Linked DNA regions of Drosophila melanogaster. The protein of the gene in region 4 interacts with the protein of the main gene of each other region in a pairwise test. Each region holds a gene or a part of one and is shown on either strand. Other genes may lie near its edges.

Region 1 (8,486 bases), on a different chromosome or scaffold from region 4:
AAGCCGGTGGGAGATTTATTATACCCTCTATATGTGAACTACACAGGGTATATAGTCACGAAGGCAAGTTGGGTAAATGTATAAGTGAGAAAAAATAAAAATAAATAAATAGTGAATTTAAAGTCCCGAGCCAAGGGTCTTTTTAAAAGGATTTAAAAATGTAATTAAAATAATTTTCAACATCCTAGGCTACCGCATTAAAAAAGGAAACACATAAGCTATACATATGGTAAAATACAACATACAACGTACAGCGTACTTTATAGTCGATATACAGGTGCAGTATGAATACTATATTGTTCTTTCTGGTTTCACATACGAATGCGAATGTGTGTGTGTGAGGAGGAAGGCGCCAAAGAAAAAGTATTTTGCATTCCGCTTACTTATATTTCATTTCTATTTATGCTTCTTCTTTACTTGCCGGCTATAAGCGTAAAAGAGAGAGGCGCAGAGAGAGCGCGATAAAAAAGGTGCGAAAGAAAGTCATCAAAAGCGAGCATTGAGTAGTAGTTGTGAAAGAGACGAAGAGCGACGAGACTATACAAAAGCATTTTAAGAGAACGCAGGCCGAACAAATTGTAAAGAAAAAGCCTAATAAAATCGAAATTAATATATAAATTAAAATCGAATTAATACGATTTTTTCATTAGCAATTTGGTAATTCAATTAAAATGAATTGTCGATTGAACATGGAACTGAATGCTCTAAGCCTGTAAAACCATTGCATACTTGTTGGCCGTGATGAAAAGGCTTCACCACCAAGTCGGTTGCAAAATAGCTTGCCTACTTTCAGGCTGATGCACTTTAAATTGATTTAGGACAATTTTTAAGTTAAACTAAAATAAATAAATAACGATATATTCAAATAATGTATATCTCTAATATTTTTCCTTATTCATAAAAATACATAATGTTGTTAAGAAACTAAATATCCAAGTCTAAATACAAACTCAATACAGACTTCTTCTTTAAATCAACGTTTTATTGTCATTCGTTATAAAAAATCCACTCCATTGCTGGCTTAAATCTATGTTACGTATTAAACCAAATAAATAAGCGATGGCTTTTGAGCAAGGCAATATTCTTTGATGGCGCTGTTTTTGGTTTTTGGTGATTTTGTGTGATTTTTGGTAAAGGATTCAAGGCAGTTTGCTAGGTAGACGGTTGTCCTAAGGCTAAACTAACGCATAAATGGTAGGTAATAAATAACTGGCACCTAAGACTAACTAACTAACTAAGCAACTAATTAACTAACTAAAGTGCTATTTTCGGGCAATATCACAGTGCAGAGGCTCGTCCTCCGGCTGACGGTTGTTGATGGCGTTTCTGGGCGAGATCACAAACGGCTTTCGCTTCTGGGCATTCCTCTTTCGTCGCTGGGCTCGTTTTCTCCTACAGTGTATCACGCAGAAGATGACAACTGTGGGAGGTGGGAAATGTATTTACTTATGTCGAATAGAACTAATTCGTAACTCACTTAAAAGCACAAAACAAACTCCGCCAAAGCAGCCAGCTCCAAAGAGCCAGAAGCTGCGCGTTTCGGCAAACTGCAGTGTCGTCTGGCAACTGGCGAATGTTGGCGAATGGATCGTTCGATTGTAGGGCAGTGGACACTCGCGGATGTCGAGCGCCTCTGAAAATGGAATTGCAAGTTGGTCATGTGCCAAAAATAAGCAGCTGCTCCGACTGCAGCGCCATCATCGCCATCACTACTTACCCAAGCAAACTGGCACGAACTTCGGACTGGCGCCGAGCATCATAAGATGGTTGGTGACCTGCTGGCAGCCACACTGGCTCAACTGCGACTTGGTCAGATCGATGACCTGCAGGTGGCACATATTCGCCAGGCTGTCGATCCTGAAGTTCTGCAGCGGATTCATCGAGGCATTCAGTTGCCAGAGTTCTGAAGAGAATCGTTCAATATTAGATAGATTCCATATATCTACATATCTCTGCTTACTTGGAAGTATGCCCAGATCGGGTAACTCCTGTAGCTCGCAACCTGCCACGTTCAGGTACTCCAGTGGAGCACGAATGGGCTTCTCCAGTGCCTGAAGATTGAGGGATGTTAGCTCATTGCTATCGATGTATAGGTTTCTCAGTCGCGGCAGCTGGAACAACTCCAGCGGTATCGTTGTCAGTCCATTATTCGAAAGATCAATTTCCTGGGAATTTCGATTAAGAAATTAATTAAAGACACACTCGTTGATTAATTGGATGTCGTTGTTACCTGGAGCGAGGTGAGTGGCTCGAAGGTTCCCACCTCCACCGATAAGATCATGTTATCATAGAGCATCAGAAACTTAATGTCCGTGTATCGCTGAAACGAGCTAGTTTTCAGCTTCCTGATGCGATTGTGCGATAGATCCAGAACCTGCAAAAAACATTCAGCGAATTGTCAGATCATTTAATTTCAGTAGAGAGTTTTGAATGGCATGGGTAGGGTTCCCATACACATCGACTATGCATGTCGGTGTAATGGATAAATTTATGTTTGTGGGCAACTTCTTTATTCTTTAATTAAGCTCAATTGAGGCTAACTGTGACGAGGGGCCCAGCAATGACCAAGTCTGATCGCCTGACCCCTCGATCGTTACTCACCTCCACCGAACTCTTGAGGTTCTGTGGCACCTCCTTGAGGTCCAAGTCGTAGCAACGAATCCGGAGCAGCTTATCGATATGGCCGTACGTGCACTTGCGCACTTCCGACTGAATGATGAATCCGGCGGAATGCAACAACTGGAGGCACACGATGAACGTCAGCAGCTGCCAATGCAGTTCCATGCTCTGCCAAAATAAATTAACATATATACATATAGATGAAAATGTAAATCCAAACGATGGGACTTCATTTCGGCGCTAACTTGTTTATATTCTTGATTAAAACTAGAACAATAAATTTAAGCAAACAATCGCCCATGGGCTCGTCAAAGCGTTTATTTTCGAATTAACAATTTACAAGATCATTGCCGATCGCTGGGGGTCTGGGTCTGGGTTTTGATTGGTTTTTGGGGGTGAATGCGGACTCGCATCCAAAGCTGAATGCATTCAATCAAGCGGATCTACCGCACCTGACAGATGGAATTAAACCATGGCAGCTCAGATACAGATACAGATACAAACTGAGCTCAAATTCGAAGCCTAGGTCAGCTGCTGTTGGCCTGCGTATACGCGATATTCATATTACGTATACGTAACACACAATCAGTGTCATTCCCGCTGCATTCATGCACATCAACAAAAGATGATTCCGCATTGCGGCGGCGGAAACATTTGGCGGCCCTATAATAGTAATAAAAGCAACTAGCCCGAAAAATAACTGACTCACTGCCATTTTGGGAAGCACTTGCCATTGCTCCAATATCTTATCGTGCGGCGTGTAAATCTTTTGATTCTACATCAAACAGCAAAAGGGGTAGCCATAAATCAAACAAATATTCCATTAAAATGCCTTTATGGCTCTTTTCAATATGTCAGATTCACAAAAGCATTTCCCGAAATTTGCCAAAAGCAATATAAGTGTTTTTGGTGAAAATGAAAGCCAATAATCGATTATGGGCCAGAAATAGGAATGCTTCGACGTGATTTATACCTCAGGATAAGTACATATATCTAGACATGATCTAAACATGTAAGCCCACTCGGTATGCACATTTGGGAATTGGAAATGGCCAGAATCCATTGTTAATGTCTCTGTTACGCCCCATTGAAGGGCAATTAGAAAATTGCACGTTTCCCAACTTTGTATCAGCTGGCTTTGCGTGATTTTGCATTGTGAAAAATGTGAAAATGAAAACCGAACAACATGAGTAATGTCTTGAGTATTGTAATTTTCCATTTGTGACATTCGGGCTAATTGCTGTCGCAGCTGAAGTTTTCATCATTTCGCCCAACGAAGCTGAAATTCCCGTGAAATCAATTGCGGGTCAGCAAAAGTGGATAGTTCTATTTACACGAAGCTCAAACGCTTGCTTACCAATGAATGATGAACGACGTCGTAGATATCCATCCATATTGGCAAATCACTTTGAGCCCGTCCAAGTGGCGGAATTAAGACATATGGAGCGCCCAGTTGGCCGATAAGATCTTGGCCTCTTGCAAAGGCAACAAAAGAGTGCTAATCAATTATAAAGTTAGTAACCATTCGTCGTTGCTCATACTAGCTGCGTTGGCTTGGAAAAATTTAAGTGATTCATGGTCCCCATTTAGACATCATGATTCGACCATTTATTAATTTTTGCCTATTTTCCAGCTAGCTGAAGTGTCTTGGCCTTTGACCAAAAAATGTTGCGCTCCACTTGAGAGGCATGTGCTCACGAAATGAAAACATAGAAAATGAAAAACAGTTTCTGCCAATATGTTTGCTCCACTAGCGGAAGCGTGGCGCACACTTTTGCCACCCAGTGTGGTGCGGCTACCTCTGTCATTAGAGCCGCCTGTCGAATCAGCGAAAAAACGAAGCAGAAAATATCAAAAGAAATATTGAAGCGATTTCCACACACATTCTCTTGGACTGACAGCAACCGCAACAATGGCTATAAATATATTTCATATATTTAAATTAAAATTAACCAGAAAAGCCCAAAACAGTGGCCAGAATGAGATGGCAGCATAAACAGTGGCGACCAAATGCAAACTTTTGGATTTGAGGAGATTGCATCGCATCCCCCAGCTGACTGACTTTATTATACAACTTTTGTTAGGGGGCTGGGAATTCAAGGAAATTGGCCATAAAAAGGGCTAATGCCAGGCACCAAATGGTAGATCCACTTGGCGGCTATGGCCATAAAAGTGATCCCGTCCCGCAAATCAAATGGTGAATCCGAATTAGCCTTAGATATTAGTTCTTTGCGAGTTGGAATTATTGGTTGGGGTCACAATTTATGTTTTTCACTTTCGCCGCATTTGTTCAGCTTCAATATTTATTTATATATTATACCCAATCAGGCGGCAGACCAGACAAACAATGCCATGGAAAGGCGAATGGGGTGGCAGAAATGGGTTACGGATCGGAATGGTCCAAGGCGCTAGCGATTCATTCACCCAGCTGCCCGTATCCGACTGTCGACCAACGGATTGCAGCCTGCCCGATATGATAAATATGACGAGGAGGGATTATTTATCTGTTCGCCGAGCCAAGCGATTATTGGACTAACAAAACGCAACATGAAATCGAAAATCCCCCACCACAAAAAAAAAAAATCGGAAGATAAAAAAAAAACACGAAATTAGTATCAAATATTTTAATAACATTCTAAACATTTGTGAATGGATTTATGTGCTCTTGTGATAGTTCCTGTCACACATTGTGGGCGTCGCAGAAGTAGGCATATATTATCGGCTATACCCCGTCCGATCGGCATATATATCTTTCAGCTCCACCCCCTCCCTGGCCGACCCCCAACAGGTGTGCGTGTGTGTGTGTGTGCACCGGAGGGCCCCGAGATTTATTCACATTTCTCGTTGCTACGATAAAGATTTATTTGTTTGGACTCTTCTCTCTCTCTCTCTCTCTGATGCACTGATGAAACATTGCTTTGAGACAACCTTCCCATCTGGGCTACCTTCTCATTACCACCCACCTCCCAGAAATGCCATTGGGTAACAATCATATTTTCCTCAAAAAAAACCGAAGCTTATCAGAGTACGTCAAGTGCTCTTATCGTGTAAGTCCCCATTCTGCTGATAGCTTCTTTCAAAATTATAACGGCGATGCCAAGAACAATAAAAAAAAAAATTAATTGAAACGGCCCCGTAAAGATTGGTGTAGCATAAAAGAGCGTTGTTCATTTATTTCAATTAAACACAATCAAGAAAACATTTGCCCAGGGACTGAAAAAAACAAAAAAAAAAAAAAACAAAAGTATCCAAATACAGTGACTACTCTACTTTATCGGAATGCCAGTCGAAAATATCATATTTCGATCATGTGTTTATTATTTAAGAATATGACATTTTGTATAACTTTTCTTTGTTGAGAACGTTTCCCTATTCTCGAGGCTTTGATTACTTTTCCAGAACACACTGGCTGTAAAGATTAGTCTGCGCCTTGATAAGCAGGTGTTCCCTACGTGTTTTTACCACAGTTAATTACTGAATAAACAGCCCTGCTGAAGCGTTACTTTTAGTAGATACACACAGCAAGTAGTATATAGTATATAGTGAAACTTTTATTTTATCTGCAAGATATGTGTGCTACACACACAGAGAAAGGCTCACAATTGCCGTTGTGCTGCCTCCGCTAATTGAAATCAATTTAACTTGGATTCTATCGCATTATGCTGTCGTGGAGACTCTTTTGGTTGCATATAGAGCATATAGAATCCAGAGACTGGCGCACATTTCAATGCTAAGTTTCCTGATTAGAAAATTCAATATAGCTTACACAGCTGTTGTGCAATCTAGTCGTAGTACTATGTGCACCATTCACGATAACCCGCCAGACCCCATAATACTACCATCAAGAAAGCAAAATAATCAACAAAAAAAAATCAAAAAAAATCCAAACAGATTTTTCCGTCCGCTTACCGCTGGGGAAATTCAAGTGTTCAGGTATAATCCCATTTAAAGTCGGCGATGATAATCCTAGTAAAATGGCAGGATTCTTGTTAGTTCACTACACACACATCACTCTATGCTCTTCTAGGATTCTTCGATTTTCTGTGATCTTTATATATTTTATATATATGTAATATTCAAACAGCTTTATATGTTATATTATCAATATTTTTTAGTTATGATTACGCCGTAGAATGTTATAGCAATCGTTACGGAGCGCGCACGTTGGCCGGAACCGTTCAATTCAACCGCAGACACAGAATTGAAACGATCGTTTCAGTTTTTGGCCTTTCGGACTCCGACAATCCGATCGCCCGAGCAAAGCACACCGAAAAATGCTGATAAAGCGGACGCACGCTCCCAGATGACACTGCACTGCACTGTGAAAATTCGGATGGAAAATTCGGAGTGGAGAGAGAAGCGCTCTCTTTGATAACAGCAATGGAAACTGATACACTCTGCGACTGGAAATTGAATTGTTTTCGGGATTTTGACAGTTCAAATGTGGATATTTCTGATTTGGCCGGCCACTCATTCAATTAGCAAGCGATTGATAATCGAAATTGATACAGAGGCATCTAATGAAGCATCCACGCCAGCTGACAATACAGTTGTAAACGCGTATGAATGATATCGCAACTAACTAAATGAATGTGAATGATATCGCGGATAGTCAGCAATGAGAGCTTGATCCGTATCATAAATGTGGGCAGACGACTTAATTCTCTTCTTATCAACAGGTAAAATTCCCAGGCACCCGTAGATCTCCTCAAGCACGGACATGAGCCCTGTCCGTCCGTTCGCCACTTTTCCACATCGTAATCCAATAAATCCCCGACTGACGACCGCTAATTGCTACCTGGCACCGGGTCTGGAACTCCAGGTATAACTACCAGGTAATAATATACGCTCTATATGGCATTACTTTTCATCGTATTTATTGGTTTGTTTTAATATATTGTTCACAACATGAAAAAGAAATAGTAGAAAAATATGACATTGTGATTGAAGGTTTTAATACATAAACCCATATTCCATTAGTTTCCTTTTAGTTTCCTTAAGTCTTCGATTTGCAATGTTTCTTGTTTGTTTAGGTAATGAAAAGTAAAAAAAGTACGAAAAACATATGTGATTCTTCAGTTGGTTAATCGAGAAAAGAAAGTACAAATACAGTTATAAAGGGAAAAAATAAATAATTCATCTGGAGGAGGTTTAAACTTCACTCCACTTCTCTTCAATTCGCCAACTTTCGTTGATGATGTAAAATTGTTTTAAACAAGGTTGAGCAATTAAATAAATCGTCATCCGCCTTAATAGCTACTAACATATATAGGTTAGTGCCAATTTTATCTAGATTACATTTTTTTTTAAAGTTTTTTTCAATATTTTTCGTTTGTTTTTATACATTTTTTTTCAATGATTTTTCGTTTTTTTTTTTGTTCGATTTTTTTTCGTTTTGTTGTGTTTTTGGTGATAATGTTTTGCATTCCGTATTGATTCTTTAATTAATATTAAAAATTGCTTTCATTTTGGTTTTCCATGAAAAGTCAATGAAGCATCTTGGCTAATCGTGTGGTGTCCTCCTCTTCCCTTTGAATAAGTTTAACTCGTTCAACTTAATGGATAATACATCGCATGTTTTTAGCCAACCCAATCACAATCTCCTGCATGGAGCACATATGAGTCCGATCTGACTGTACAACGGGGTGATCACTGACATTCCTGAAGCTTCTCGCTGATGTTCTTGCTCTGGTAGAAGAGTCGTACGACATGGGTGCCAGTTCCCTTGGTGGCCAGAATCTCTACCTGGAATGTTTCAGAGAAGCGAGTGTCGATGAACGACTGGAGCAGGGCCGCGTCGCACTTGGATATGGTCGACGCATCCAGCTCGCAATGCCTGCTGTATCGCGCCGGCTTGGCCAACTCCT
Region 2 (6,421 bases), on a different chromosome or scaffold from region 4:
GATTAAATGAAGTTGAATTTACATTAACTTATTCTATGTTCAAAATGAACTTTCAAATAATATTTGCAAACTTTTAATCATAGGATACCGGCAAGTCTAAACCTTCATTTTGTGCCACCAATATACTGTGTGTTTATCGTTTTGTGTACCTCTAAGCATCTTTTTTTATGTTTTATGCCGCCCGCTGGCTATTTGTGCGCCAAATGCATTTGTATCGATATGCCGCTCATATAAAATAAATTTAATAGATACTTGTGAAATCGCCAGTGCAAATAGTGCTGCGATGCAGCAGTTCTGTGTTGGGGAAGTTGCAGCACAGTGGAATGCCGCCGCTAAAACAAACATCCGAGTCATCAGCCGGAAATGGGATACACGCTCGGTCCTTGTCTGGCCTTCCTTCCGTACTTGCCAGCTCCTCCTCTGACCTCTCAACCCAGAAACTTGAATCCTGATCCCCAATACCAACAGATTCGCTATGGCAATAAATCCCCCAAGGAAGTGGGTGGCACAATAGCAGAAAAACTCATGAAGTGGCAAAGAGTTGCGATTGTGTAAACAAATATATTAGGAAGAAGTCAGAGGTGTAGATGGAAAGGGGCTCTTAAATTGAAATCATTCGATGAAAATAAAATATAGTTATAGCTTTAAGTATTTCCCAGAAGTAGCTTATGTTTTACTTGTTTTAAAGCAAAACTTTAATTGGGTTTCCTTTTGGCCATGCTGCATGCCACGTAGAGAAACGAATGTTTATAGCACTAATTTTATTTGTTAAACTAACAAAAGCAGCAGCAACGACGACGAGCTGGGCAAATAAATGTGTCTCAGAAACGATTGAGCGCACAGAGACAGTCATATAAACAGAGGGACATAAAACTCATACGACATGTGGGCCGGCAGGCACTTGGCAATGCGTGAGCGTGAGAACATGGCACTTCATTCACGCCCCGGAAATGCCCCACCCACTAGCTACGTACCATCCAGCTCTTTCTCCAGTGTAAAACTCCGTACGGACAGCAGTTGAACCGAAAGCCAAAGACAAAGAGGAGCCGAAACAAAAAGCCCGGTCTACAGTTGCGCCTGCCGAACAATTTATACGACTATTTGAAGTTGGAGGACTGAGTAAATGCTGCCTAAGTGTGCGTAAATCTATAAGGACACCCAGTCGTCCCAGTCGTCAGGACCTACGGAGGAGCTGGAGAACCCATCGAAGGATTTCGGCTGTCTCCATTGTCACCCGGCCACCACTCGTTCTTTCTCCCAACCTCCAAAGTGTTAACACATCGTTGCCATCCCCCCAACATCCCGAACTCGTCACGATTTCGTCCCGTTCTCCAGTTTGTTTTTATGTTGTAAACCATTTTCATTTGTTTTTCGTCGCTCTCCACTCCTTTTGCGTCTTGGGCGATTGAGATATTCCCTTCTGTTTGACTTCAAAATTGATAGTTTTAGCCAGATTATGATCTGTTTATTGTGCAAAGTGCTGTGAACCGGGGATTGGGCGGCAATTAAGTCGCCTTGTGCGGCGAATGTGAATGTAAAATGTGTTTCCGTTGATAGCTGAGATAGAGGCGCCGTTTAGGCGTTGTCCTTCGTGTTTGATCGACTGATAGATAGAGTGGCAATGTCCTTAACTTAATTTACTCCTGAGAAGAAAGACAGGAAGATAGGGAGCCACCTCAAGCAGCGTGAACAACAAGAACTGAACTTATTTCCGGCGGAAGTATCAGTATTCGGCAATTTCCGGCCTGCCCTTGGCTTTCATTCTTTGCTCCCTCGCTACGAAACTTTCGCCGGCAATAAATGTTAATACATATTAAGCGATATCCCATCCAGTCAATGAGTGGACCAAGTTCGAACTTCGGCACGTCCATGCCGAATCAATTTATCGAGTCAAAGTGTAATTAATGCCACTGCGGCAGGACAATCGGCCAGAACTAGACTCAACTACTCGGCGCATCCGTCGAATTGCCGGAATGGCTCAATTGTCAGACTCCATAGCACTTCCATTAGCCGCTGCCTTCATTAGGGCCTGGCCATAATCATCATCATCAATAATCTGGCTCTGAAAACACATCACAAATTAATTTTGACAGCTCTTGCCAGCTATTAATATCAATTATTCAAATAGTTCGGCAACCAGCTGACGAACTTCAAGGCAATGCCCCCCACATTACCAATAAGCTGATTCATTACTGTCCGTTGGTTATGTCATCAGAGTGCTCCTTTTGTTACTTTTTCGCCTATCGAAGATGCAGACGCTTTGTTTTCAATAATGAGCAACATCTGATGCGTTTAAAATGTTGGCCATGTTCTTTGGTAGCCTAGGTTTGCTCTCAAAGACTTGTGGCTCTAGGGCCCAGACGATAGCAATGTTCACAAAAGTATAACATTGCACCAGAAGGCTCTTTGTATATACCATAATATGCCATAAAGGATGCAGAGAAACTAAATGATTTAGAACAGAAAGCAAGACCATACTTGCTGTGGGTTGTGTTTCCTACATTTGTCAAAGAGCATTTCAAACAAACTCTTATCAATTGAATCCACTTAAAGAACAATTTACAAATCACTCGCTTATTGACATTATCATTGAAAATTCGTTTCGATTTTCAATCGTGCTTCCTGCCCCGTTCATTTTCTATGATACCAAAATAGCAGATTGGTTGACCCTCCGCTTTTCACATGGCAGCTCAAAATTATGCGTGCACATGTATGAAATACCGAATTGACTAATATTTATTTATACAATTTTGCGGTTCACAGAATGCAGATAATTCAATTCCAGTGTCAAATTTGCCAAAATGTGCGTGTGGCTGGCTCAGCCCACCGCTCACCTCAAATGCAATTCAATTTGGCGATAAACCAATTTAAAGCCGACCAAAAATGAACGAAAAACTGTATGGAATTAAATGTACACATACTCACACTCGCATATTCCACTGTGTGTGTGTGTGTGTGTGGATGCGGGTAGTCTGTTTATCTCTCAGTCGCGGCTTCGGGGTCAGAGGTTATCGAGTGGCGACCGTCGACCGAAGCTTTGGAAACCGTGCAAACTGTTGGTAGTCGAACGTCTATCGCAGTGCCAACAAGTCGGCGATGAAGCGGTTTCTTGTGGCCTTATTGGCCGCTCTGCTGGTAGCCGCCGTCCAGGGCGGAATTCTGGGCAGAATTTTCCACAGGGAGTCCACCTCCACAACAACCAGCACAACTACGACGACCACAGAGGAGCCCCGCCGACCCTTCTACATCAACAACAATATTCCCGAAATCCCGAAGGACTGTGTGGCGCAGTTCAAGTGCAAAAAGAAGCTGGCGAATGTTCAGGCTCCAAAACCGTGTGTGAAATACTGCCTGCACAGGATCACCTGTCCCAATAACCAGACCAGTCCCGTTCAGCCCAACCAGTGTGTCGATCTCGACGAGCAACAGGTGCTGGCCGTCCACGAGGCAAACACGGAGCCTCCGGTCGCCGGCCAAACCACCACCGAGAAGACCATGATGGTGGCCATGATCGACTTCCCCTGCCAGCCCGGCTATCTGCCCGACCATCGTGGTCGCTGTCGGGAAATCTGGTGATTCGATGGCTTCGTGACACGTGTTTACTGCATAATTATACCTGTGGAATTTTCGTTTTTATATACATGCCTGCTCCCAATAATCACAATAAAACCCAAACGAACGGCTTTTGCCCAAAGATCGAACACAGTGAACAATTTGATAAGTGTTTCGGGTGTAAATACCACCAATCTGCCAGTCACAACAAATGGCTGCGGTTTGTGACTAGTGATTGTGTTATCAGTGAGTTGAAAACATTTCAAATCAAACTGGTATTTTCATATATACTAGTGAAAAAAGTGTGGACTCAAAACAATGCACTCGCTGTTGGCAAGAATAAAAAGAGTTTTGGCCATTTTTAAAATAATAAATAAATAGATAAATAATTAACAACTTACATGCCCTAACTCTATTTCGTTTGCTGTTTAGACCAGCTGCTTATAACCTCTAGAAATAAATTAAAATTTCTTTAATTGTTTTTTGAACATATTTTTGTAAGTGCATTCTCCGCCGTGAGTGGTCACTGTTCGGGAATAATACTTTTGCTGTCCCGACACGCCAAGTGTCAAACACACCTCCTTTGGTTGGTTGGGAATCGGTGGACTCAGACATGAGTGGCGGAATTAGGGACTGAATGAAGTGGGGGTGGGGGGGCTTACCTCCAAATGGGCGGGGCACTGGGCGGAGTCGTGGCAGTCAACAATTTTGTCTAATTACAACGGGAGAAACGAGCAGCCAGCGACAAGCCATAAAAAATATGCCATTTGCACGAAAATAACTGTGATGTGCTGTGACCTGTAGCCCCCGCCATTGATAGCCTCCAGCAAACAGGATAAGGAGGACGAGGTCCTGGATTGAAGGAGGAGTTGCCGAAAAAGCCAAAGCCACAGATATAGCTAACAAATGGCTTAATTCCAGCCAGCAGCTTGAATGCTCGGAATGCCGAGCGATAAAAAGTACATGTATTAAAATTAACAAAACAACAAGACGCAGACAAGAGACGCCTTCTTTTTTGGCCCATTTGGATGGGTGAAGGTGGTGGATTTGTGTAGGTTTTGAAGCCTACTTCCATCACGTGATTGACGCACATTTCGAGCCCAGAGAATACAACTGCTAATTCGACGCACCCAACTATGGGGATCAAGGAGGAGGATTTGGAATGGGGCTGGTGGAAATTTTATGTGTCTTCGTCATGTTAATTGTTTTCCTTTGTTCGTGGGCATTGTGGACTGCTTTTTGCCGCCACAACCATTGCTTTAGCTTTAGCTTTTGCTTTGTTGTAAGCCATAATTTGCGCGCTTATAACTCAAAAGTTTCGCCGTCAAGCCAAACGCAACTAACTTTATTAACTGAAGGAGCGCGCGCCTTAGCCAGGTTTTGACTTCATTTGTGCCCCATTCTTTTTGTTTTCTTGATTTCCGTTTCCGAGCGTCGGTTTAGCAGGAGGACGCAACTTTCTTTGGCTTGTTTTTATGGTAATCGGCGCATAACAAAAACCACACCACCACCACAACAACGCACCACACCGCCCCACCCACCTGTGTGTCTTGGTGGTACGGTTGGCGGTGGCATGGTATTTGGAAATTAAACTGCGCATAGTCCTTAAAATTTTATAACTTAATTTCTCTTGGTCTGGCATTTTTGTGAACTTTTTGATTTGATTTCGTTTGGCACTCGCACAACTCCTTTTTCGCCATATCGGTTGGCTGTCTGTGGGTGGTTGGTTTGGATTGGATTGGCTTGGTTTGGATTTGGGTGGCTTTTCAGGTGGCTTTCTGGGTGGGTAAGGCAGTGACGTGCCTGGCGTTCTTTTCCAGCCCGGAATTCGGCATGCGAATTAGAATAATAAACTGTTGGAATTTATTTGGCGCAGGAAAATGCTTTGGCTGCGCTGATAAGGTTGATCTATGGCCGGTGGCATTTCAATGGCCGCGATAAGAGCAATGAGTTTTGAAGGATTATGCCGGTGGCAGCATAATTGATGTGATGCGAACATAACTCAATTGTGGCGTAATTGCGGCCCTCGAATCTGGCTTTTCCGCCAGTTACGCACTCCATTATTTGTATAGCCCTTAGCCGGCCAACCGATGCTCTATCCCACTGGCATTTTACCCTAGTTATACAAACGTAAAAATGCCAGCTTTTGCAGCTGCTTTCATTATGCTAATTGCACGGACATCAACTGCGGAAACAATGCAACTAATAACAGAAAGCAGGGGCAATCGGTGCAGCAAAAGAGCGGAAAAGCGAACAGGTATATACATAGGTACACAGGTTGGCAGGTACGGAGGTGAACTAGGGAAGAAACCAAAGAATTTTCATTAAAATTTTCATTTAGTTGCGCAATTATTTTTGTGCAGCCATTTTAATAACACTAATTTACCTTCAATTCCCAACTCTTTTTCGAGTCACACAAAGGCCACCGATGATGAAAGAGATGGTGAATCGCATGGTGAATGCGAATGCGAAAGAGACGGGGACATACGGTTATAAATATGCGCAGCTGCAGGATAATAAAAATGATAAGTTTTTCTCTCTCTCTCTTTCACTTTCTGTCGTTTTTGCCGTCTTTTAATTTCATTCCTTTCAGCATTCACTCAACCGGCCACAGCTGAAGCTCAGCTATTACACTGGGAAAAATGTAGATACTTCTTTAAATTTATATAATTTATACCATTGAGACTCAACTACAATTGTGTCATGGAATATGCTATCCGAGAATCATATCCTTTGAGAGAATATTTGTTTGATCGGTTTTAGAAGCATAGTTGGTTCGATAAATTCCAAAAAATATTCTACATTTCCCTCACTGCTTCGATTCGAAATTGGTCACAATTTGGGGAAAAAAATTTTCTCTTTTTTCCCG
Region 3 (8,204 bases), on a different chromosome or scaffold from region 4:
TACCTGTTTCCAGTTGGATGTCGTCGGCATTGTTGGTGTCGCACTCTCAGCTGTGGGTAGCAGCTTAAGCCAATGCTGAAGCTAACACGCTTAAACCGAAGCTGAAGTTCAAGCGGCGGGCCTTAGCATTTGACATAATTCCAGAGCGTCAACTCAAGTAGTAGTGATCAGCAGCCAAGCTTCCGGATAGGAAGTGCTTTACTCACAGCCGGTGGTGATTTGGTGATTCATATTTAAATGTATGCATATCACATGTTGCCAGCGTAACAGGATTTGCCGCATGCCGGTTGTATAACCAACCGCCTGGCTCACCGCTTGGGCGGGTTTCCTGATCGCATCTGATCACCGATGGGGGGATTCCTCGTGGCTCGTGAGATGACTAGTTGCCTAGCGAAACGTTCTGGCCATTGAGCCATCGAGTTGTTGGTAGTAGTTGGGAACGCTGCTCCACTCAGTTTCGCAATCTGAGCCGCCGTTACCATTATTGGCATGAAAGCGAGTCTCAAAGCCAATCTGATCCACTTATGCATCCACATCCACATTCACACTTGCAGCTGGAAAGGAACCACGCGAGGTGCAAATCTGGGTCGCAAATGCGCAGAATTCCAGTTTCCTTTCGATGGCCATAAAAGGTCAGCAAATGTACAGGTAAGTCTAGACGCAACCATCCATCGATCAATCCGGCGTCAATCCGTCGAATCTTTATCGTTTTTCTGCTCAAGATTGAACTACCCGTTGAAAATGCGCCAGTGGCATCACATGTGCAGCTCGTGGAATGGCAAGACGGGCGAGTGGCAGGCCTGGCTGAAGGCAGAACGCATTGGGCGTGGTTTCCACAACTCGGTGAGTTTGACTCCATTTGACTCCAATTACGCATATTGCAAAATGCCTTGTTCGCGTTTTCACTTTCGGCGTGCGAATGTCAGCTGCTATAATCTCAAATCTCCGTCTCCACTTAATTCTTAATTGCTTCAGTTGGTGGGACATAAAATCCCAGCGAATGGCAAGCTGCGCTCCGGCGGCAGTTCGGTCACCGGCGAGGTGAGCCACGGCCTCCACTTCGAGATGACGCTCGTCCAGGTCTATCGGGTGGCGCTCAGTGCAGGCAAGGCGCATCGCGACCACAAGCACCACCATGTCCACCACTTTGATCACGAGGGCCAGGAGGTCTCCAGCACCACTCGTGCCCCACCCTCGGTAAGTTCGTAACCAGTGCCCACGGAGACAATATAACACGCCAGACCTCCATTCAGATTAATCGTCCTCAACCCATGCACACGCTGCTCGCCAGTGGCCAGATCCCGACCCGGGTGCGCATCAACTTGGCCAATCCGCCGCCGACTGCAAGTGGTGCTCCCGCTCCTGGCGCGGCCGGAGCTCCGACCGATTCCGCCCAGCAGGCCATCACCATCAACACAAATTTTGTGAACGGACAGATAAACGCGGGATCGCGACTGGTGGCCCAGCAACTCCTTGGCCTCTCGCCGCCGAGCGGATTGCAGCCTAGTGGCGGTGGCAAACGCTTCCAAATGCTAAGTAACTCAGCCAACGTGCAGTTCATCGACGAAACGGAGACCCACATCCAGTTCAAGAGGAACACCGACGCCACTAAGAAGGTTCAGAAGCGCGGCCTGGTGCTGCTGGACGATGGATCTGTGGTGGACGACGGTGTCGGTTCCGGAACGGATGGGAGCTTGATTTACAACGGTCTCGCCGACTTTGGCGGACAGCAATTTAAGCAGGATCTTACGCTCAAGATGAGCCTGGAGGAGGAGATCAGCACGCACGACCGAGAGCCCGCCGAGGAGGAGGTAAGGGCCGTGATGGCCATCTGTAGCAGCTGCCACACGGAGCCTTTCCAGGGTGCCATCGTGTTTTCGTGGAAGGATGTGCGCGAGCACATGAACAACGCCCTCAAGGGCCTCAGTGTGGGTCCATGTGGTAACTTCTAGTTGTTCCCAAAGTTCGGATAACATTCTAGTGTCCTAGGACCCCAGCTTAAGCTTTCCCAGCCCCACCCCATTATTTCCATATCTTTTTTTTTTCTATATATGTACGAATAAGTATTCGATTGGTTGGGCATCTTGTGCCACAATTGTCCATGTGGGAGTCAACGCTTTACTGTTGCCACCCATTTGGCCACCAAACAATCCTTGACTCGCTCATGGACACCAATCCATCCTGCTTCCCTAAGCCCTACATCCTCACCCTAGCAATTACGCGGTGATATTGAATAAAGGACTATTTAACTGATACCATCTAGCAGCACTTACCTTTGATTTGTGGATATGCTGGTGCTTGTAGTCCGAGTCGAACTCCGGCTCGCTGAAGTAGCTCTGATCCTGATCCCAATTGGCCTGCGCCTGCGGCAGGGGTTGGGGTATTCCAGGGCCGCCGGGCAGAATCTGGGGCGGGGCTGCCACCTCAGTGGACTCAAAGAGACGCAGCACGGAGCGATCCCTGATCTCGCGCAGATGCGAGCGCACGTCCTCCAGCTCGTAGAACATATCCTTGCTGGCATCGTGAATGTAAATCTTCACATTGGGCCCCTCCAGATATGACATGGTCAACTGGCGCGGAAACGAGCGTACGAACAGGGCGCGCACCGTATCAATCGAAGTGATCTCGTTGGGCAGCAGGGCGCGCTTCGTCTCCGAGCGGTACTGCAGAAAGACCAGGCCCAGCGGTCGTTCCAGAGTTTTCGAGGGCGTGCGTACCACGGGGAGCGAGGAGCGCTGCTTGCCGCCCCTCCGGAATCCGGTGCTGGCCGTTTCCACCTCCGACATGATGCCGGGATCGTCGTCGAACAGCGGTCCCTGGTTAACAGGCGCATAACCGCGCATCGGCTGGTTCTTTTTGTTCTTCTGCGCGCGCGTACTCATCTAAGAAGGGACAAGAATCAGAAACTGATGGTAGAAACGAGTTGAGATGGGAGATGGAGCTCACCTCCAGATCCATGGCCCGCTGTTGCTGGGGCGCCATCTGATGGGCGTGTGGATGCTGCGAGCCGTAGACCAGCATATCGCCGCCGAGCGTATGTCGTCGTGGATCGTCGCGTCGCATGGCTCGTCGTCTTTCGTCGCCACCTGGGGAAACACATAGACACTGAGGATGGGGCTACAGATCCGTGGACGTCTTTGGTCCTTAACATACCCTGTTCATTCGACGGAAGCCGTCCCGACTTTGCCTCATTCTGCCAGTCTTCTTCTGAAAGAGAGGGAGCTGGAGTTAGGCTCATTTCATTTCGCTTCCTTCCGATTTATGGATTCCGATTACTTACCGCCCTCTCTACCCTTGCGCTTCTTCTTCGACGAGGAGCTGCTGCTGCCGCCGACGCTCTGGTTGGAGGAGGCGCTCTTGTCCTTACTCTTCCAACGGATCAACATCCTGCAGCCGTTTGAGATGTGCGGAGCTCAGTGGCTATGTTGCAGCTGCAGAAAATGAGAGACAACGGGGCGTATGGGTAACGTGAAAATGTCCTTATTTTTTTGGTCTTTGTTTACGTTTGGTACCGGCAACAACACGCTAAACCGCACACACACAACATGCAACTTTGGTGTAGATAAACCATGTATCCTCGCACATTCTTTAACAGGGTGTGGTGGAATGGAGTGGAGCCTCGCAGTGGCAGTGCCAGTGCTCAATGCAAAAAGTATGCAACGGAGTGCGCAAACTCTGCTCTGCAACACGGAATGGAGCAAGAAAGCAGGACAGAGCGGAAGGCGTGACTGGAGCTGGATCTGGAACTGCATGCGGATCTGGATCGGGACCCCAGAAATGCGGCTGGCAGAACAGACAATAGTGTTGGCCGAATACAATTGTTCATCGCAGTTGCCATTAAGATGCCATTTGCTGAGAGAACACGAATCACTTTCGAATTTGTTTTGCATATGTAAACGTTTTTGGAGTTGGAAGTTGCTTTAAACAAGGCATGTCAAGTTATTTTGGCTGCATGTACATGTTTATCTCGAGCAAGAAATCCGAGGAAGGGGCACCAAAAGGAAACGGACGCAGAGATGGGTACACACGAAACATGGTATACTTTTCAGTGCAGCACTTCACGGGTTTTAGTATGCCTTTGCCTTTGCCAGTGCCAGTGCCTGGGAATATGTACACAGCCACCCACATTCACTGCCCATCGGCATTATTGCGGGCCACTAAAGGAATTTTTGATTAGTTTTAGGTGCGGTGCCCCGGCCCGTTTTTTCCCAGCCGCCATTAATTGTGTCAGTTGCGTCCAGTTTCCAGGGCACGAGTGCACATTAAACACGGTGGAGGGGAGCTCGTGTCTGTTGACTTTTCCACACACGTCAGCGGTCAGTTGGCTGGATTCCTTTGGGTTTTCATGGGGGATCTCGTCCTAGCTGTACCTTGTATACCTATGCACCTTTGGGGGTGTGTGGGCGGTTCACCGGCGATGTTTCTGGCATTTTCTCAAACCGCACTTGCCTTGCCGATTCAGGAAGGTTTCACAATTAACGGGTCTAGGTGCTCATAGCTCGAGGAGCTCACCGATTTAGCCGTGTCCTTAGGATAAAGATTCGATTCAATTCGCTTCGCTTTGCACTCGTCACTACACAGCTTTCTGGAGTCAGGACACGGCACTCGTCCACCGACGCAGCATAACGCCAGAAGAGCAGAAATATTTCTGGTATATCTACACCGGAAAGCGTTTCCGCCCTAGCCGAACGAGGACTGCGTGCTTGCACGGCGCATGCGTTACCAATCGAGTGTTCCCGGACCAGCGAAGTTCCCTGGCATCCAGCCGTCAGAGGTCCTGGCATCCCTGCATTCCGACGCTGCTCTGTTGTGTGTGTTTACCTGGTGCCGGGGCAATCGAGTAATTTTCTTGGCGGTTGAGCGCATGTGGCTATCGAATGGCTCCAATCGATTACTGGGCGGAAGGCCTTTAAAAACAGGTGACGAAACACATGCTTGTCCTGCGCCGGCTTGTTTATCCGGGAGTAGCCAGGATTCCAGCGGATGTCTGGGCCCGCAGCCACGCCCTGGTGGAGTTTCCCGGCCAGTGGCCTCGCTGTGAGCAGCACCAGTTTGAATCGGACATGCGGGTCATCAGGGACTTCATCACTGCGAAGGAGGAGCAACTACTGATGCGGGAAATCGAGCCTCACATCAGCCGCTTGCCGTACGAGTTGAGCCACTGTGATGACGTGGGTGGGTATATATAGAGACTATATAGTATCGGATTTCTGGCTAAACTTCTTAAACTTCGCAGGCAGATACCGCGAAGTTGAACGCCGAAAGTGGACTCCCCAAAACCAGGCCACGCTGGATCACGTCTCGTGAGTTTCCTTCGGTGAGCAGGTCATGCCCTTCGTGCACATCCTGGACTTGGCTGACTCTGGCGCGATCAAGCCGCACGTGGACAACACTCGAGTGAGTTTGGCCACAGAAGATGCAACTCGATTTCATTTTCATTTACGATTGTATTCGACAGTTTTGCGGCAACACCACTGCGGGCATTAGCATGCTCAGCGACTGAAGCGCGTGACCAAGGATCCCATGACTTTGTCAGCCACTCTGAGGATCTGCTCCTGCCGCAACTCTCGCTCTATATTAAGAGTGCCCTAGCGCGATACGAGTTCACCCACGAAATCCTGGCCAGAGATCAGTCGTGGTTCAAGGAGCGCTTGGTCGAAACGAACCTTGATGGCATACGCATAGTTTCCTTTTCTCACAGCTGGTGTACATGTATATATATATATATATACAATGAAAATTTATTCCGGTTTGGTGATCAGCTAATGTAATACAGACGGCGGACTGCGACGGATTACACGACGTGATTCAGCCATGTAATATATGATACACTAAATCAAATGTACATATACATAGTATATCTTAAGCTAGCTACTTGTACTTTATAAATATTGGGCTCACCTTTCTCACTCGCTTCAAATTTTCTACTCCCTCTTATAATCTTTTGAAATTTGTGTTTTTTGCTCAACAATGTATATGGGTTGATGCTTTTCTACTTTCATTTGTACGTTGTCGTCTCGTTTCATTTAAAGCTTAAAATATGAGAATGACAGAGACAGGGAGATTAATGGGCAACTGAGTGAGATGGAGAGAAGGTGCTTGGGAAAGGGGAAGGATACAAAAATCGACCGGACAAGGACTAGTCCTGGATTCAAGGATAACTGGGAAATAGTGATGTGTTGTCGCTAAACCTACGTTCATATTTGCACTTCTAGCCACTGCTAGTTAAAGTCTATGCCGTGCTTCCGGCTCGGGGAATGATATTATGGCGATGGGGACTCGGTTCTGGCGGGTCATCGGTCATCAGTCATCCAGCTCATCCCAGTTTTCGGCGCCGCGGCAGCTGCAGCGGCAAGGCAACAACGGAAGCAGACGAGGTCGGATTTGCTGCCATCACCGGAAGGGCAAGAGCCACTGGAGCTGCGAGTCCGCCGCCGACGTACTGCAGATGCTGCACCACCGAGAGCTGTGGCTGCTGCTGCTTGAGCAGCTTGGCGGCAGCGTGTGCCTCCGCCGCAGCCACCACGACGGGGTGCACCGGTTCGGTGCCGACTCCTCCGTTGACATGTGGACCGGTGCTTTCGCAATCGTCTTCGTCTGAGATCAGTGATATGCTGAGGTCGCTGGACAGTTTTAGGGAGATGGGCGTGGGCGGCGAGGGAGCCACCAAGGGCGCCACTTTGGCGCGCAATGCCGGTGACAGTTTCTGCAGCTGCTCCGGCATCAGGTCGTTCGTGTATTCCGGCACTCCACTAAAAGCCAGGCCTTCGCGTAGTTTGCTCAGCGAGAGTTCGTAAATACGGTTTGCGATGACCGTGTGAACGGTCGTCTCGTCCGGCAGCGTGGCTGTGATGCCTCCGCCCACGTCCACCTCCAGAAAACAGCCCGTTTCATTGCCGCCCTCTCCGCCTTCGGCGGTGGCGAATCCATTGCTGGCCGCCGTCGACGCTCGACACGGCTTGGGGTGACCTGACACCCGCGTCAGGCAGTTGGCAGTGGTGGAGGTGCGCGGCACCAACGAAACAGTTACCTCTTCGATGGTCTCCGACTGTGTGAGCGGTGCGAGCGGTGGCGGTGAGCGCATGGAGAGCTGGGAGCGCACTCTTGCCGTGCTGCTGGGTTCCTGCTCGTTGTGCTCGTCATCGCTGGTTATCAGGATGCTGTCGGTCACTGGGTATGAGTGGGTGGCAGCTCTGCGCGGCGCCTGCCTTCTGCCCGTTCTATGTGCTCGGTGCCCTGGGGCAGGAATCAGGAGGCGATTGTGGCCAGCTGCAGCGGGCTGTCCGGCCGATGGGGTCTCATCGTCATCCGACAGCAGGTCGATGGTCACGTCCGGCTGCAAAGTGGAGGCGACATGGCGCCGCTGCAGATGGGACAGCTGCCGGTCAGTCTTGGAGGCGAGAGCCACTTGGTCGCGCATCCGGGCCATGCAGATCCGCTGGTGCTCAAGCAGGCGTTCCATCCACCGACAGCGGCGCCGCTTGAGACGACGGTTGTCGAACAGCCGGGGCGATATGTAGAATGGTTCGGAATGTTTCTGGTTCATGTCTATAGGCGGCAGGAGAAGAGTTAGTCTGTGACGCCTGGTCGGCCACTGGTGGGCACCTATTTACCGAGTGTGTGGACTCGTCTTCTAGCGGTGGCGGTGCCTGCCACGGGTTGTCAAGGGTCATGGGCTCGGGCCCGTGGGGCTCCTCCTCCTCCTCCTCTTGCTGTTCCACTGGCGGCGAGTACAGTTAGATCCACTGCTGCAACTTGCATAATTGCGTGGCGGCGCAGGGGGATTTCCTTGAGAGGAGCGGAGGCGCGGGACTAGGCGCTGCGCCTCCCGCCGCTGGACATGCCGAGATGCGAGCGGGGCCGAGATGGTTGTTTTTTCGCGCGGCAGCTGCTTAATTTGTGCTTTTGTTGTACTTTAGAGTTCTGTTTATAAAACTGCATCGATAAGCGACCACACATCGATAACGCTTCTCTCGATAGTCCACGCTGCGTGCAACCGTGCACGTCGACTGGCCAAACAGTATCTGTCGGTAGTTATCGATAATGCATTCGCCACTTGGGCGCGCTATTTAAAATCAGCTAGAGAAAATAATGAAGCTTCGAAGCAAAGGACAGAAGGATACAAGTGCTTTGGATCACCAGCAAATCCAGCGACTTGGACACCAGGTAGCCCCGATAAAATTCCTATTAAGTAAAACACTCTT
Region 4 (7,255 bases):
CCGTGCGCTCATCGACAAGCTGATCGGCGCGCAGCTGCCGGAATCGCCTAGCAGCTCCGCTGGTCCGTCGGTGACTGGGCTCACGGTCGCCGGAAGCGGAGGAGACGGCAATGCCAATGCCACAGGCGGAGGAGAGTGAGTTTTTATTCTATTGATGTCTAAGATATGATTCTAAGATATCCAATTTATTGTATTATGTCCTTGCAGTGCCAGCGACAAGACCGTTGGTAATCCGATTGGCTGGTTGCAGGAAATGTGCATGCAACGGCGATGGCCACCGCCGTCGTACGAAACGGAAACGGAAGTGGGTCTTCCCCACGAGCGGCTCTTTACGATCGCCTGCTCGATACTCAACTACCGCGAGATGGGCAAGGGCAAAAGCAAGAAGATAGCCAAGCGCTTGGCCGCCCACCGCATGTGGATGCGTCTGCAGGAGACTCCCATCGATTCGGGCAAAATCAGCGACAGCATCTGCGGCGAGTTGGAGGGCGAAGTGAGTATCATTCAAGACATCGATCGTTACGAGCAAGTCTCTAAAGATTTTGAGTTCATCAAGATCTAACCCACAAGCAATTTTCTAATATTTTTAGTGCAATTATTTTGAATGCAGTCCCATGCTTTAGTTTATAAAATTTTAAAAATTGATTTTATCAAATATATGTCATAAATGTTATATATTATTTAATACGTTTGTCCTCTATCCCTTCTCAAATGTAATGTAGAACGTTTAGAGTAATCCTCAGTTGTAAATATCCCTATAATCTTTTAAATTATGTATCTAGCTAGAGTTTTAGTACTATAGCATCCCTTTTATAGTGTGCTATCTGATATTTTTTATTGTCCTTGTTTTTATAACTAATGTTTTTGACATAATTATACATATAATTAACATAATGCTTACACCTTATTTATATTTCTGGTTTTATTTATGGTTTATATTGGCTTATTTCATTTTTCATTTTTCATATTGTTCCTTGGCATGGTGATTGTTTTAAAGAACGAATCTGTAAAGCACCTTTTCCACACAAAAGTGATATGTTTCAACTCACCATTGGCGTGTGTGATTTCAAATGTGTGCGAAATGCAATGGAGAAAAGAAACCAAAAACTTTGCGCTCTTATTTACAGCCCCGCAGTAGTGAAAATTATTATGGTGAATTGAAAGATATCTCTGTGCCGACACTGACCACGCAGCACAGTAACAAAGTATCCCAGTTCCATAAGACCCTAAAAAATGCAACGGGCAAAAAACTGCTTAAGTTACAGGTAAATTTCAATCCAATAACGCTTTTTATTCAAAAACGATCACAAACATATTTCCAACATTCAAAACCTGCTTTCGAAAGTACATATTTGCCTTAACCCCTCACAATCCTTATAATAATAGTGTTCTTGCTTGAAAGTTCAAAGTTTAATTTGACTCTGCTAATTCGACTCCATTTGTATTTTTTTCAGAAGACTTGCTTGAAGAACAACAAGATTGATTACATCAAGCTGCTGGGCGAAATCGCCACGGAGAACCAGTTCGAGGTGACCTATGTGGACATAGAGGAGAAGACCTTCTCTGGCCAGTTCCAGTGCCTGGTTCAACTGTCCACGCTGCCCGTTGGCGTTTGCCACGGCAGCGGACCAACAGCTGCCGATGCCCAGCGGCATGCCGCCCAGAATGCCCTCGAGTACTTGAAGATCATGACCAAGAAGTAGGGGGTGCAGCCAACTGAATAGCAAAATCTGAACGCACACCACGACCACGATCACGAGTATTTGATGAGAGCGATTACCGAGTGGATACGGGATAACTAATGCACCAGTCTAATTGCTTTTCTTTCCACTTTTTGGCTCAATGCAGTGGCGATGTTACATATATATATATATATATTTTGTTTCTTTTCCACCGATTCCTTTGATTAGGCAGTTGTATTTGTTAACTGCATATGTAAATGTTCATATATGTACTACACTTACCGATGAATGTATGTACGCTTGCAAATACAGACAAGCGTGTAATCGATATTGGAATCTTCTAGTCGCTTTCAAATTCTGAAAAACGTAAAACGGCAGATAAAACTAGGTTTAAGGTAGACTACGTGCTAGTTTGCGAAGGAAAAAGGCTTATGAATATAATCGGTATTTGGTAATCGCTACTTTTGCAGTTTTCTTTTCCTTGGGCTGAAAAACTTTGTAAACTCCGAATTAAAGGGCATTGATGAATTGAAATTAATCAATCCAACTTTAGAAATATTCTGTGAAAACATCTTTTATGATATGGAATTATTTAACTACAAATTAGTTAGGAAATAAATTGACAAATATAATACTGAAGTTATAGTAGCCGTGGCTTTATTTAAATAGGTAATTTTGTGCTTAATCTAAAGTAGTATTCTAAGTAATCATAAAGGATTGCATCTATTTCTTCTTTCTGTCCTGCGTACACTTGGGACAGAACCACTTGCCCTTTGGCTTTGTGGTGAGGCCAACACAAGCGAAGTGAAACCACTCGATGGGACACTAAAATGGTAGAGTGAAAGATCTAGAACTGACCACAGAGTACATCAAAATCGAATACTCACGTCGGGATTGTCGCAGCCAATCATCTCTCCATAGGACACCTGGTGGCATAGGCAATATGTGGGCTCATTGGGATCGACGGGCATGTCCATAACGTCGCTGGGATGAGTGGCGGCCGTGTGGCACGATTCCTTCTCAGAGTCATCAACCTCGACGGTTTTCTAAATGGGTATGTTAGCAAAATGAGTAAGAATGGGGTTTCGACGATAGTGGAGGCGTGCATGTACATAAGTGAAAATGCAAACGATATGGAAAACAGTGGATAATGCAGGATTTCTATGGGGATAATCTATAAAAGTAAAGAGTATTCTATTTAGGGTCAATGAAAACTGGGAAACAGTAAACATACTAAAGTTCTAACAATGTATAGATGAGAATGTGGATGGTTTACCTTTTGAGCGCCCCCCTTGCGAGTTTCTTTTTCTTGATTTACCTTGGACTTTTTCTTTTTGCTACCTTGCCCGGCATTGCTGCTCGAATTGACACTGGAATTGGCGTTAGATTGGTTGTTGCCGCGCCCAGTTTCCTCATCCGAGGATGCGGACTTTTTCTTTTTGCCCGTCGTCTTGCTGTCCTTGGTTTTTTTGCGACCTTCTGTACAAATGGAATCAAAGGAAGGGGTCAGCTTGTGGAAGAATAGATACTTTGGAACAGTCTTACTCTTGGCCACCACTTCCTCGGATTTGGCACGCGTGGATGAGGCCTTCTCCTGAATCTCACCCTCGAAGCGTGCTAAATCGTTGTCCAGTCGCCGTATCTGCTTGTCCACTAGTTCGTAGGTCTGAATGGCCAGCTGCACCTTGTCGTCGCTGTACTCCTTGGCCTTTCCGAACAGTGCCTTGATATCCTCCTGGCGCTCCCTCCTCTCATCCTCGCTCATGGCCCCGTTCTCGCCCAGCTTGCGCATAAAGTCCTTGGCATGGCTATCGATGCTCTTCATCGCTGTTTGTGCTCGATCGTCTAATTTTCGCATCAGCTTAAAATTTCTCTCCAGCTCCGTTGGCAGACTTTCCAATCCTGTTTGTAAATCGTGAATAATATATGTTTTCGAGTGTTTTCCATGCTTAAGAATCTTCTTACCGTCTAAATAGTTCTCTAGGTATATAGCCGATGACATTTTCGGTGTCAAATATCGGATTTAACAAAGAATATGGAGTGTGTAAGCTAAATTCCAGCGTCTGTTTACGATAGCAACAGCTGTATTGTTGTACATGGGATATTTAGGGATGACAGCTCGCTTTTTAAAGTTATCGATTACTTTACAGTGGTTAAAAGCATAACCCAAAACAATTGGGCAGTGCTTAAATTTAAAAATTAAAAGAAAAAATAAAATATTTACATTAAGTAGATTTCGGATCGGATTTTGTGGTAGTTATTTGCTAAATCTTTGAAAAACTTTTAGTTACGACTGCGCAACAGCTGTTTTTAAGTGTGGTTACAACTTTATGATGGTTGGCAACTCTACATCTAGTATAATCACAATCAAAAACACTAATTTGTTTTGATAGCTCATTTTAAAGGTAAATTAAGTTTTGAAAAATGAGCGCCAGTTCCGGAGGATCCTGGATTAATGCCATCTACGATGAGGTAGCTCTGGAGGGTCTGGAGGGAGTGACATTGCCCTGTAAGAGATTTCCATGCCCTCCACACATCAACTCCAAGTTATTTGTTTATGCTTTTAGATCTCTGGGATCTTCTGGCCAGGCGACTGGAGTTTTTCCCCTCTCCGCTGCCTGACCGCATCCGGGAACAGACGTGGACCTTGCTGCTACGCACGCCGCCTCACAAGATCGAGTTCTTTGAACTGCCGGCGGAAAGACCACTAATGCCCTACTATGATCGCCTCAACGACATCGACGAGCAGCTGGGATTGCCCGTGGTGCCCGAGCAGTGTCCGTACATGTTGTTCCCGGCCGCCTATGTGCAAGAGGGCGACATTAAGGGTAATTGCAACGACTTCAAGACACGTAAGCTGATCCCTTCCAGCGATCTGCATTCTCTTAATGCCGCTCAAGCAACGGAACAGTGGGCGGGCAGGCTCGTAGTGGTGGCCTCCCAAGAGCTGCGGGAGACAGCACTCACGCCCGAAAGCCTCCTGATGCCCAAGAATCTGCCACTGCCCAACTACATCTTTCTGGAGGCCATCGGACGGTCTCGGTACAGCGGACACACCACCGCAGGCCCTTGGTCGCTTATAAACTACAGCAAGGACACAGGGATTCTCTTCTATATCAAGTGAGTTTTATGAACTATACTTATATTTAATATTTAAAATTACATTCCTTACAGAAACAAGTTGATAAATCTGCAGTTGATTATTGCCCAAAACTATAACGAAATTAACAAGGGACGCATCTTGGTCTCTTCGCTGCTGATGCTACCGCGCTTTTACCGCATCTACAAGAACCACTCTCAGGAAAATCTTGAAAAACTATACTTGGGAATAATGCGGACGCCAAGCCGCCAAGTGCCCGTCACCGAAATAACCGATCTTCTAGGCCGTCCTACCAATTTTAAGACAAAGAAATTGCTGGTGACCCACTCCTTTCGTAAGTTCTTCGAGACTAAGCAAGTTGAAAGGCCCGTTGCGCCACTGACAAAGTCGGGAAAGCAGTCCAAAGCAACCACACGCAAGGTGACAGTGATACAGCTGCGCAATCCGGATATGCAACTGAAGGACCTGTACAAGAACGACGACAGCGAGGATAATCAGGTATCCGAGTTCTTGGATCTGGGCCACTGCTTTCTTGATATGCCTCCGGAGGAGGAAGTTTTCCGCGCAGTGGCGAGATTCGGTAAACGTGGTCTTAATAGCAACGAGTTGTGCCACTACACGGGTATCAACGCCACCTACATGCGACACTTTGTGAAGCGAGTGAAAAAGCACGGCCTGGTCAAAGAGTACTCGGAGCAGGTGGGAAAGAGCCGGCAGTTCCGCTTTGTGGCCGTAGGACATTTGGGGGACCTTTCAAAAGAAGACGAGATCAAGAAAAAGGCACTGGAGATTAGGTGTAAGGATGAGCCGGTAAGTATATATATATATATATATATTATATAAGGAAAAAGCGTTTATCCTAGTATTTCTATATTATTATCTAGAATATTACCGAAAGCACTGATGTCCTGCTGAAGGACTTGCCCGAGATCGTGACGAATGCCCGACCCATAGCGTTCAAAATTAAGAAGACCAGAGCCGCCAATCAAACGCAGCGCCAAATTAACCGCCAGAAAATGATTGTGCGCCAGATCGACCAGAATTGTTTGGTGTCCCTGCCCCGCGTCTTAAGATCCGTCCAGGAAACGGAGCGGCAGGCCGGCTTTAAGGACAGCCTATGTCGCCGCTCGTTGATGCGCCTGCTGCGTCCAATGGTTGAGGAAAATATTATAAACGTGTTCGAGATCACACTGCACTACAATCAGCGAGTTCGTGTCTACCGTTTCGCCACGCATCCAAAGATCGGGCTTGACCACGCGGTCATGAAACGCGAGATTGTCAAGCTAAAGAGTAACTTCCACTTGATCACCGAGGAGCGCATGAAGCGGCCATCACAGATGGCACCCAAAGAGCGCAAGGAGGTACTCGCTCGTCGAAAACTGGCGCCAGAGCGTTCAAATGCGGTGTTCAAGACGCAGGCACCCAAACTTCTTTTGGCTAGGACACTGCACGAGTTTCTCTACTATTTGCACCACGAGCTGTCGCCGGAACAGAAGCCCCTGCCCATGTCCGCCGAGCTTGTGCAGCAGTGGCAGAAGTCGGAACCGGCACTGCAGCCGCGCCAGTTCTTTGACGAGTGGCAGGCTGATGAAACAAAGGTTCAGCCCTACACTGAGGATATAGGCTGGCGCACCTTTATACCGCCGCTACCGCGCTACGTGGACAAACCATCTGGCTGGCTTTACTTCATGGATGCCATGGACCGAATGCCGCTCTCGCTCTTTATGCGCATTTGCCGCATTGAGCGCGAAGCCAACGACGATTTGCGTCTACAGCTTCAGCATCCCATCCGTCAGCACTATCTGCTTTCCCAGCTGAAGCTGGAGACCATTGTGCCACGCCTGAAACTGCAGCAGATTTATGTGGGCACTCTGCGACTGCTCAACAATATGGGTCTGATCCAGGTGGGCAACACTATTCCTTTGCTTTAAGTCCACATATTATAATTATTCGTATTTAGGTGAGCGAGCAAAAGTTAGGTCGTGACTCCCTGCACCGCTGGGTATTCCTGAATCAGCGAACCAGCTTGCTGGACACAACTTCCAGCACTGAGCACAACTACATGCAAGTGAGCGCCGATCGCTCGTATACGAAGCTTAACTTTGAGTTCTCCAGCGTGGAGCAACTGGGTAACTATTGGGCCAAGTTGCAGCACATCTGCATTTACACGAAACTGGGATACCGCAAATCGTTGAGCACGCAGAGAATTCTGCCGGCGCGTTTGAAGGTCCTAGTCTTCCAGCCAACGGTGGAGTTCGATCAGGCCGTTGAGCTTGACAATGGGACAGTTCCTGGTGATCACCTGGGTGCCGCTGGACTGAGCTCCCATTTGTTTGCCCACCAGTTCCGCCACTGGTCGTGGGTGCAGCGTCAGAATGGTGGTAAGTCGAATGCAGCAAGGGAAAAGGCCAAGAGGACAGTCCGGAAGCGGGCAGTAATTACGCGCCTGAAGATTGGACCCCGACTAGCGGTG

The links.
Region 1: the proteins of Ing5 (region 4) and Lapsyn interact in a two-hybrid assay, tested with the Drosophila melanogaster proteins (one large-scale study listed by BioGRID).
Region 2: the proteins of Ing5 (region 4) and Gbp3 interact in a two-hybrid assay, tested with the Drosophila melanogaster proteins (one large-scale study listed by BioGRID).
Region 3: the proteins of Ing5 (region 4) and CG32809 interact in a two-hybrid assay, tested with the Drosophila melanogaster proteins (one large-scale study listed by BioGRID).

The regions. Positions count from the first base shown.
Region 1 is NT_033778.4:21,191,909-21,200,394, reverse strand, and holds Lapsyn (Leucine-rich repeat activity-regulated protein at synapses), read right to left. Parts: upstream 6,825-8,486; 5' UTR 6,529-6,824; intron 2,788-6,528; 5' UTR 2,785-2,787; coding exon 2,602-2,784; intron 2,375-2,601; coding exon 2,231-2,374; intron 2,166-2,230; coding exon 1,961-2,165; intron 1,904-1,960; coding exon 1,718-1,903; intron 1,634-1,717; coding exon 1,478-1,633; intron 1,421-1,477; coding exon 1,263-1,420; 3' UTR 964-1,262; downstream 1-963. Other genes in the region: tud (tudor), read right to left, coding at 8,269-8,486.
Region 2 is NT_033777.3:22,974,212-22,980,632, forward strand, and holds Gbp3 (Growth-blocking peptide 3), read left to right. Parts: upstream 1-3,058; 5' UTR 3,059-3,096; coding exon 3,097-3,576; 3' UTR 3,577-3,953; downstream 3,954-6,421.
Region 3 is NC_004354.4:1,687,927-1,696,130, forward strand, and holds the start of CG32809 (uncharacterized protein), read right to left. Parts: upstream 4,843-8,204; 5' UTR 4,513-4,842; exon of another isoform or gene 4,371-4,512; intron 3,432-4,370; 5' UTR 3,387-3,431; coding exon 3,281-3,386; intron 3,208-3,280; coding exon of another isoform or gene 3,205-3,207; coding exon 3,154-3,204; intron 3,087-3,153; coding exon 2,947-3,086; intron 2,883-2,946; coding exon 2,274-2,882; intron 2,262-2,273; exon of another isoform or gene 1,953-2,261; coding exon of another isoform or gene 1,254-1,952; intron 1,198-1,253; coding exon of another isoform or gene 976-1,197; intron 844-975; coding exon of another isoform or gene 723-843; intron 649-722; coding exon of another isoform or gene 555-648; intron 180-554; exon of another isoform or gene 4-179; intron 1-3. Other genes in the region: b6, read left to right, coding at 555-648, 723-843, 976-1,197, 1,254-1,952; a6, read right to left, coding at 6,317-7,546.
Region 4 is NT_033779.5:13,383,530-13,390,784, forward strand, and holds Ing5 (inhibitor of growth family member 5), read right to left. Parts: upstream 3,784-7,255; 5' UTR 3,685-3,783; coding exon 3,648-3,684; intron 3,585-3,647; coding exon 3,228-3,584; intron 3,162-3,227; coding exon 2,959-3,161; intron 2,729-2,958; coding exon 2,570-2,728; intron 2,508-2,569; coding exon 2,406-2,507; 3' UTR 2,319-2,405; downstream 1-2,318. Other genes in the region: loqs (loquacious), read left to right, coding at 1-135, 208-493, 1,128-1,265, 1,455-1,703; CG7099 (uncharacterized protein), read left to right, coding at 4,107-4,191, 4,250-4,802, 4,857-5,592, 5,667-6,686, 6,743-7,255. UniProt on the Drosophila melanogaster protein: Component of the Enok complex which has a histone H3 acetyltransferase activity.